2 linked regions of the Arabidopsis thaliana genome follow. The protein of the gene in region 2 interacts with the protein of the main gene of each other region in a pairwise test. Each region holds a gene or a part of one and is shown on either strand. Other genes may lie near its edges.

Region 1 (3,362 bases), on a different chromosome or scaffold from region 2:
CTTCCTCCCGACCTCCCCACTTGTAACTCTTTTCTCTCTCTCTGATTTCTGATTTTGAATGGATTTTTGACTCTGTTTGAATCAAAAATCAAATCTTCTTTGTGCCTCGCAGATGTTAACATTGAATCGCCTCCTTCCACTCAACCATGCAAGAGACTTTGCGATATTACTGGATATGAGGTTTTATTCTGTTTTTGAGTGATCGATTCTTTTCTACAAATTTATTCACTACCCAAAAACAACAAAACTCAATGAGCTTCTCTAATCCCTCGCAGGCACCTTATGTGGACCCAAGAACAAACCTCCGCTATGCTAATGCTCATGTTTTCCAGACTGTGAGATCACTTTCTTCCGACCAAGTCCACCAGTATCTCTCCATTCGCAATGCTGCTGTTGTTCTCAAGTAGCACCTAGCATCATCTTATTCTCTTACTTGTAAACCAACAACATGTTGAATCCTTCCTTATTATTTATGGTGTGATTTGCTTGGGACATATATGATTGGATTTCCCTTAATGTGTGAGAGATACTAGACCAGAGAGGTTTCATTTCAATTCAACTTTTAGAAACACATTGATTTTGAGTACATCCTCCTGCATTCTATCTACATCAAAAACATTCACCTATCAATAAGGCTACAAGAGACAAATGATAATGGAGTTGCCTTCCTCATGGGGCTTTCCTCAAGATCAACGCCAATATGTAACAAAGAGCAGCATCCACCGATGATAGCGCAACAATGAATACAGCTACCAGACACAGACTCAGTGTAGCAGTCTTTAGCTGTTTGTTACCAAAACAAAAAAAAACAAAGTTACACCCACAAACTATCTCTTTCTTTCTCATATGTTGTAACAACAACAACAAGACATACCGTGCTTGCAAAAGTTGGCCACTCTATGTATTTCAGCTGACTTGGTTGCTCAGCCATGAAAGACAAGAGAGATCTCGTGCTCCTTCTCACAAGAAAAATGCAATTCAATATAATGCAACATTCAGACTCTTCCAGCAGATATATATATTAAAAGCTAGACTCAGTGGGAGAATTTCATACCAGACCATGTCTCTAAGAAGACTCAGCCATAAGGGCTCTTCTTCGGGAAGCTTCTTATGAGAGCTCCAACTTTCACGAGCGGAACCTACAGATCCCACCGTGCCACTTCCACGCACATGTTTATGACTGACTCTCCCATTGATACTCTACACACTCAAACAGAGCTTAAGTGAAAAGCTTCTTAAGCTGTTAAGCCGCAATAGAAAGAAAGGTAAATTACCAAATCCCCAGAAAACTTGAAGCAAATGGGTCCGAACCCATCGCGTCTTAGAATCCGGTGTGACGGAGCCAATCGGATTACGCCTATGAACCAAAATCGAAGCTAGATGATTACTAAGGACAATATCAAAAAGCAGTGGGAAAGTATATAGAAGAAGCAACCGGAGCGAATAGTGACCTGAAACAGTTGAGAGCAGCCCCGGAGAAACCACCATCCTCCCTAAATCGAGCGTTGGAGGAAGACGAAGCTGATCTCGCCGTCGCAGATATCAAAGGCCTTCGATGATCTATGGGCCTTTTTTGGGCTCAAAGTTTCCTGGATTATAAACCCATTTTACCAATGACATCTTTTACATTTTAAATTACTTTGGAATTTGGATTGTTGGAAATTCTAGTTCATTGAAGAAACTGACAATCTGACATTACAGAAGCTGATTATGTATGTGATCCATTTGGTTAAGAATGAAAATGTCTATTGAATAGTATTTTGTATCCACGATGATGACATCTAACTAAACTATAACTAATCCTTTCTTTGGTACTGTTACCATATGCTGTTTTATTTTGTGTTTAGATAAATACATGTCTATACAAATCTCATCCCTCATCCCCATCCCCATCCCCATCATCATCCTCATCATCATCATCATCATCATCCCCATGATCATTATCATCATCCTTCGTAATCTCAACATCAACTTCACCATTCTCCTCCTCTTCCGAACTATCATCATCATCTGAACTCTCTTCACTAGATTCATCGTCAGAATCATCATCGTCATCCACATAATATCCGTCGAACCATCGTGGGTTACCAAAACCCGAAGCCTGTTTCCAAGAAGCAAACATACAAACATTTAGTTTGCCTTCCAAAACCAAATTCAGCCTCCAGTCACATGTATTGTATCCAAAGTTACATTCTTGTTAACTAAAGCATATCCTCCGAGTCTTCAAACACCAAAAATAAAAGAAGCAAACGAGGTTAGCAATAGATGTGGCATTACCTGTTTCGCATTTCCTGGCGACAGAGGTTTCTCGGTTCCTCCAGGAGTCCATATTTTGATATCAGTATCTATTCCACTGCTACACATCAGTGGCATGTGAGGATGAGACTCTATACAATTGACAACATGTCTGTCTGCTTCCATGGCACGGAGAAGCTCTCCGTCTTTCTTCCTCCAGATGAATATTCGGCCGCAGTCAGAACCACTTACCACATACTCACACTTGGGTCCAAAAAAGTTGACACCTTTGACTGTTTCACGGTTCGTGTGCTCTTTATAAACCTGAGGCGTCATCCTCTCCTCAGTCTTAGTTGAAGATGGATATGGGGTTGGGCCAAGCCCCATATCAGGGGTGAAAAGATAGATGAACTCGTCACTATACGAAGCAAGGAGCTCACTTTGATCCGAGAAAGCCAGACCTGTTATTCCTACATGGTCATCTCCAATCAAATGGCCAGGACAAAAGTGGTCTATGGGTTGGGTAAAATTATACCAACCCTCGGAGCGATAGCTACGAATATCATAGACACGAGCATACTCATCCATTCCAGCCACGGCAAGAAGACCAGGGTTCCTAGGATCAACTGCAATTGCATGCAAGTAGACAACTAAATTGAACTTTGCTTCTTTACAAGTGAAAAGATTTGTAGCCACCCGAGTCCTAAGATCAAACTGAAAATACGTGTTGTTTTAGGCGGCCTAGGTATAAAAACAGACGATAAGAAAACAAAATGAAAAATACAACTCACATGCTTGACAGCCCCATCCTCACCACAAGTATAGAATGAGAAAGGACTTCCAGGCTCAACAGCCAATTTGTGGACGGGTCCTTGATGCTTACCCAACAAAGAAGTCTCTACCTGTCCAGATTCAAGAATCTTGGAATAGCGGACCTGTTACAAAAATCAACATAAGCTAGTTGTAACATGAGGAGCTATCAAGAGGTGTGGTTCGCGGTAGGAGGTATGAAGAGGAGAGGCAGAGTGGTACCTGCTTATCAGCAGCAGATGTGACAATGGTACGATCGTCAGAGAAAGGCATAAATTTGGCTTGGAAAATATTATTGAAGTGGCCGGAATCGAAGG
Region 2 (6,186 bases):
ACAAAGACTCTGTTTTATACAATGAGAAACTTCAGAATCTCTTGCCCCAAATCGAAGCATCTCTTCCAGGAAGCAAATTCCTTTACGCCGATGTCTATAATCCTATGATGGAGATGATCCAAAACCCTAGCAAATACGGTATGTACATAAAGATCTTTCTTGTTCCACAAGTTCTCTTATTTGTATATATATATATATATATATATATATATATATATATGATTCGTGTGTGTGGAATTGAAACAGGGTTCAAAGAGACGAAGAGAGGATGTTGTGGAACAGGGTTCCTGGAGACGAGCTTCATGTGTAATGTTTTTTCTCCTGTGTGTCAAAATCGGTCGGAGTTTTTGTTCTTTGACTCGATTCATCCATCGGAAGCTACCTATAATGTCATAGGCAATCTTCTGGATCCTCTAATTCGTGGAAAGTTCCAGGCTTAAGTCATCACGAGTTGCAAAACTGACACAATTAATTTTCTTGTTTCTTTAATGCGACTAGTTGTGGACTTTCGTTTATGAATCAAATGTAACTTTGGCTCCTATTAGTGCCAAATATGCCACAACTAAATCAATTGACTCTCATTTTCTGGACAAACGAAGAAAAGAAATCAGTTTCAAGTTCAATAATTCTCGGAGTATTTGCAGACATTTATGAAGTTCGACTATTCCTGCATAATCTTTCCGCAAATGCTTGTGATACTTGGCCCTTGGGTTTTAAGTCTTCTAATATTATGATGGAAATGTGTTTTGGTTCTTAATACAAATTATCTAATGCCTAATCTACTAATCAAAAGAGCTACAGAAACTTCTAAAGTTTAAACGACAATAATATATCTATAAGTTCTTCTGTTTCTCCAATCTCCCTTTATACGCCATATCTCTTTAACGCTTTGCTTAAACTCGGCATTACATTGTAGGCATGGTAAGATCTTCTGAGTTCAATAATGGAACCAACCTGTACACAAACAATAGAGATTATTAACACAACGACATCAATACTGCTAAACTGAATGATATTGATACGTGGAAAGAACACTTACAATGATCAAAACAGATGTAAATCCGATAGAAAAGCCTTGATTGATGCTGCGTAGATAGTGGTCAAGTACAGTAGAAGCTGTTGCCAAAAAGCTCAACAGAAGGCCACCTGCATCAAACCAAATGAAATGGTTTTTAGAGATTATACTTGTACCATATACGCAATATATCTAAAATGAAACAGCTTAACTTACCCCAAAACCTAGTTGATGCTTGTATCTTCGTTAAGTACTCGATTGTGGCTTTCCCAGGCTTTATGTTCGGTATTCTCGCCCCCATTTTGTTTAAATAATCCGCTATTTCCTTTGGCAAGTTGGCCTACATAACAAAACAAGAAACCCGGTAAATGTAATGTTTAATGTTCATTGGAAGACTGAAATTCAGACTGAGAAAAAGTGTAATGGATTTACTCACAATGTCAAATATGTTGAAGAGAAAGACGAAAAACGCATATATTGAGTAATAGACCCAAGGTGGTGCTCCAACTGTGCTTTCAGGGTTTAATATCTCCTTCATGTTTAGCAAGAAAGGTGAACCCAGAATACTAAAAACAATAAATTACCTTATTAGACAGCCTTAGATGGTAACAATAACACAAAGAAGTAAGAAACAGGAATGATTTAAACCCTAATAGTAAGAGGTTCTTCAAGCAATTTACCTTGCAAGAATGCTGGGGAATGCCAAAAGATATGTGGTTGTGAGAACAGGTTGCATTCCAGCCGGGTTGATGTTAAAAGGTATGTACGGCTCCACCTCTGTTATTGGAGAACCTTCTCTGCCCAAATGGCAAAACATAGCATAAACACAAATATGAGTAAACCACACGTTGCATCCAAATGTACTTTAACCGTAATCTACTCCTAGCTATATTGGTAAAAGTGGCAATTATACAACAATCTTTTCGATAAAATAATGATGCTGAGCTACATATATCACCTCGAAGCAGAAGCAAGTTTAAAACCATAATATTGTAGTTTAATCTTCCTGCAGCCCTCAGTAACAACAACAGCGAACATAGTTACTACGGTAAAAATGCCCAGCAAGCCTAACAAGTAAGGCAACCAGTTCGAGAAACTTCCTGCAAAAGAGAAGAACGCTTCCTTTTTTTATAAATCAATTGAGAAGATAGGCGAATGATAGTTGCCTCCAGGAAATGTGGAAGACATGCAGGTCTAATGTAAAGACTAACCATAAGTTTGAGAAATGTGGAGTAAGAAAAACCAAAGGTACCTGAGATTTGATTGAGCATCTTGTGTAAAGTCTCTGTGTAGCCCGTCAATATTCCCACACAAATAATCAGAGATGAGCCATGACCTGTAAAAGGCTTAGAAACAGGTTATGAGCAAGCTCCACCAATTACTCCATATCAGCATCACTTTAAGCTACCAATGGTTATAGAGATAGAGATATAGAGAATCAAATACCAAATCCAGATTCTGATATTGTATCACAGAGCCACGTCATTGTCATTGCACCACAGACTAGCAGAGATGATGTCATCATCACATGCTTGACCCTGAATAAGCATGCATTATTACTTTAGCATCAGTTGTGGCAAAATGGATGATAGAATTTAAAAGCACCATTTTGATACCCCGAACGTGAAGAATCCTAATTAACTTACTGGGCAGTGGCTGCAAAAACTGAATATTGAAGAGAAGTGTAAGCCACCACTAATGCTTCCACTATAGCGAAGAAAAACGATAGCCACCATCTAATAAAATAAGACCAAAAAGGCGATTTAGTAACTTTGTTTAATGAAGCAAAAAAGTCACAAGACAAACAAAGTAATTGTATGTTAAGAATTCATCTCACGGCTTGAGAGGTAAGAAACTAAACACACATATAACTCTTGATCTTCTCGTGACCATCTAAGCCTTCCTTTCGCAGTTTCACCAAGGATGGAAGAACGTGACAAAGCACCTGGTGTTTCATGAGCACTTTATCATCAATCATAATCTTAATATATAAAGAACGCACAGACTCAGGCAAACACATCAAATCGAGGAGAGATCTTAACCTGCATAATTATGGATGCTATTATTTGTGGACTGAGCCCAAGCTGGAAGAGCGAAAGCTTGATCTCTGCTCCAAACTCACCCAGTTCCTCTATCAAAAACATAAAATGTTAACTACAAATACATAGAAATGTCAACCAAACAAGGGACTATAAGACTCAAATGACATGAGAACACTCACCAACAGAACCCGAGACAAAGCTAAGGTAATCTTGAGGTATTAATCTTCTGTCGAATCCAGGTAAAGGTATAAAATATCCAACACGGCTAAGTACAAGCAAAACAGCCGTTACAAACAACCTCCTCCTTATCTCGCTCTTAAAGAATCTTTCTGCTGCAGTATTGAGTACTGAACTTATCCGAACAAAATCAAGAAACCTATTTCTAAAAGACTTTGGCCTATCATCCTGTAGTGTGTTGGAGACAGCAGAGTTCTGTGAATTACGAATGTCCTGTGAATCTGGCGGAATAATCTCCACATCCAAAGCATCTGTATGCATCTCCTCGCTACTCATAGAATCATCTCTGAACTTATCGGAATAATTTATCGAAAAACTCTTCCTTTCTTTCATAAGAAGATGTCTTCTGTTCATTTGTATAGAATGCCCTTGTCTCGTTCTTGACATATTCAAATTCGTAGTAAGGCATTTTCTGGGTTGAGAACACAGAAATGGGTCTCCTGCAAAAACATTATCAAGGTCAAAACACATGCCTCAACAATTGTTTCTGTTCATAAAGTTGGATACTTTGAGAGAATTTCCGGGTTAAGAGAACTAGTCTAAGAGATAGTATCAGTGAAAAAGTTATCAACTTTGCAGGAACAGTGAAAAACCCAGGTCTGTGCTTTTGAAATTAGGGTTTAATCAATTCGAAGCAACGAAACTCTAACGATTGTATCCTGAACTAGTCTAGGTAACAACAATCTCTTAAAATTTCGATTCCCAAGCACTTAATTTGGGGAAGGAAAACTTACGTTTCGAGAGGAAGGCATAGGAGGGATGCGAAAGCGAGATTGGTCTAAGAGAAAAATGGAAGAAGCAAGCTTGAGAGGAATTCATCGAGAGGATGAGGAGAGAAAAAACGCGGCGCTGAGACAAGGAAGAACAAAACTTCGGCTTTCAAGTGTGTTACTGTTATAACTCTCTTAAAATCTTTTTTTTTTTAAATCTTATACATACTTAGCATACTTTTAAAATTTATGATTCATGTATATTTTTATGTTACTATTTACCCAATGTTATGTTTTGTCATTTTTAATTGGCTATAGATTAGTGTATCAATATTTCAGGTTACACATCAAAATTTTACAAGAATTAGATCACTCATATTTTTTAGAATGAAATGACAAAACAAAATTGTAATAATCCATATAATTGATGATGGTATTAGATGAATTTTTGTTGGCAGGAGAAGAATCACAATGCTGTTAAGACCAAAATGCCAATGTAAAAAGTTTTATTTTTAATTACTGTGTGGTTTGAAAAAAAAAACAAATCCAAGTAATTTCTGACAAAAAGAACCCCAAAATAATATTAGTCTCCTATTGGGCAGATCCGGTGGAGACAAGTGATGATGATGATGCTGATGATGATGACGATCATCACGACGACAACAAAGAACATGACATAAGCGACACTGATACTCTTCAGACAGTGGATCCAGCGACTCTTATTCCCGGCCTTCAATCTTCGCTTTCAAAGGGGAATCAACGCCAGGTACAAAAACTTTCAGATGGTTATTCGGTTCCATGCGTCATTGAGGACACAGACCTCACAGTTGAAAGACTCCGCTACCTTCACGCCAAACTTGCAGGAGTTAAAACTGACGCACCGGTTGAGAAAGATCTGCTCCTTGAGTCCTCTGACAATGCACAAAATGAGTTTGTCTTCATGAAGAGAAAGAGGGTTCGATTAGAAGAAATGTACCAACAGGTGGAAGCTGCAGATGAAATGGGCGTTCTGAGTCAACTTTGCAAGAAAGGAAGAAAGACTGAATCTGCAGGATCGTGTTCGATACATGATGGACGTGACGGAGGCGCGGGGGGCCCGGTACCCCTAAGGGATCCAATATGAGGATCATCTCATGGAACTGTCAGGGCATCGGTATGCCGCTGACTCAATCGCGGTTGTTTCGCTTATTCCGTATGTATAACTATGATATTTTATTTTTAGTTGAAACCTTAAACCAGTGTGATAAAGTATGTAAACTAGCATATGATTTAGGCTTCCCTAATGTAATAACTCAGCCCCCTAATGGAAGGAGTGGTGGCTTAGCTCTTATGTGGAAAAACAATGTCTCTTTATCCTTGATTTCTCAGGATGAAAGACTCATTGATTCTCATGTAACATTTAATAATAAGAGCTTCTACTTGTCTTGTGTGTATGGTCACCCTACTCAATCTGAACGTCATCAACTATGGCAAACTCTTGAACATATCTCAGATAATCGAAATGCTGAATGGTTGCTAGTGGGTGACTTCAATGAGATACTTTCGAACGCTGAAAAAATTGGTGGTCCCATGAGAGAGGAATGGACTTTTAGAAATTTCAGAAACATGGTTTCTCATTGTGACATTGAAGATATGAGATCAAAAGGAGATAGATTCAGTTGGGTAGGGGAAAGACATACACACACAGTCAAATGTTGCCTTGACAGAGTTTTTATTAATTCAGCCTGGACTGCAACATTTCCATATGCTGAAACAGAATTCCTGGACTTCACGGGCTCTGACCACAAACCGGTCCTAGTTCACTTCAACGAGTCATTTCCCCGTCGATCAAAGCTTTTCCGTTTTGATAACCGCTTAATTGACATACCGACATTCAAACGTATTGTTCAAACAAGCTGGAGGACAAACCGGAATTCACGTTCTACACCTATCACGGAACGGATCAGTAGTTGTCGACAAGCCATGGCAAGACTGAAACACGCTTCTAATTTAAACTCAGAACAACGAATCAAAAAACTTCAAAGCAGCCTAAACAGAGCAATGGAGAGTACAAGGAGGGTTGACAGACAACTAATTCCACAACTTCAAGAGTCACTAGCGAAGGCCTTTAGTGACGAAGAGATTTATTGGAAGCAGAAGAGTCGTAATCAATGGATGAAGGAAGGCGATCAAAACACCGGCT

What was found. The genes of interacting proteins can lie anywhere in the genome.
Region 1: the proteins of SCY2 (region 2) and AT4G38490 interact in a two-hybrid assay, tested with the Arabidopsis thaliana proteins (one study listed by BioGRID).

Annotation. Positions count from the first base shown.
Region 1 is NC_003075.7:18,004,511-18,007,872, reverse strand, and holds AT4G38490 (uncharacterized protein), read right to left. Parts: upstream 1,586-3,362; 5' UTR 1,489-1,585; coding exon 1,452-1,488; intron 1,358-1,451; coding exon 1,275-1,357; intron 1,201-1,274; coding exon 1,055-1,200; intron 957-1,054; coding exon 875-956; intron 784-874; coding exon 670-783; 3' UTR 501-669; downstream 1-500. Other genes in the region: AT4G38495 (chromatin-remodeling complex subunit), read left to right, coding at 1-22, 113-180, 276-407; AT4G38480 (Transducin/WD40 repeat-like superfamily protein), read right to left, coding at 1,871-2,101, 2,278-2,949, 3,027-3,170, 3,268-3,362.
Region 2 is NC_003071.7:13,424,987-13,431,172, reverse strand, and holds SCY2 (SecY protein transport family protein), read right to left. Parts: upstream 4,163-6,186; 5' UTR 4,114-4,162; coding exon 4,029-4,113; intron 3,735-4,028; coding exon 3,237-3,734; intron 3,147-3,236; coding exon 3,058-3,146; intron 2,961-3,057; coding exon 2,881-2,960; intron 2,752-2,880; coding exon 2,662-2,751; intron 2,554-2,661; coding exon 2,462-2,553; intron 2,352-2,461; coding exon 2,268-2,351; intron 2,116-2,267; coding exon 1,974-2,115; intron 1,813-1,973; coding exon 1,696-1,812; intron 1,582-1,695; coding exon 1,452-1,581; intron 1,356-1,451; coding exon 1,232-1,355; intron 1,147-1,231; coding exon 1,040-1,146; intron 955-1,039; coding exon 865-954; 3' UTR 541-864; downstream 1-540. Other genes in the region: AT2G31540 (GDSL-like Lipase/Acylhydrolase superfamily protein), read left to right, coding at 1-138, 247-440. UniProt on the Arabidopsis thaliana protein: Involved in protein export. Probably interacts with other proteins to allow the postimport or conservative sorting pathway for inner membrane proteins in plastids. Central subunit of the protein translocation channel SecYE.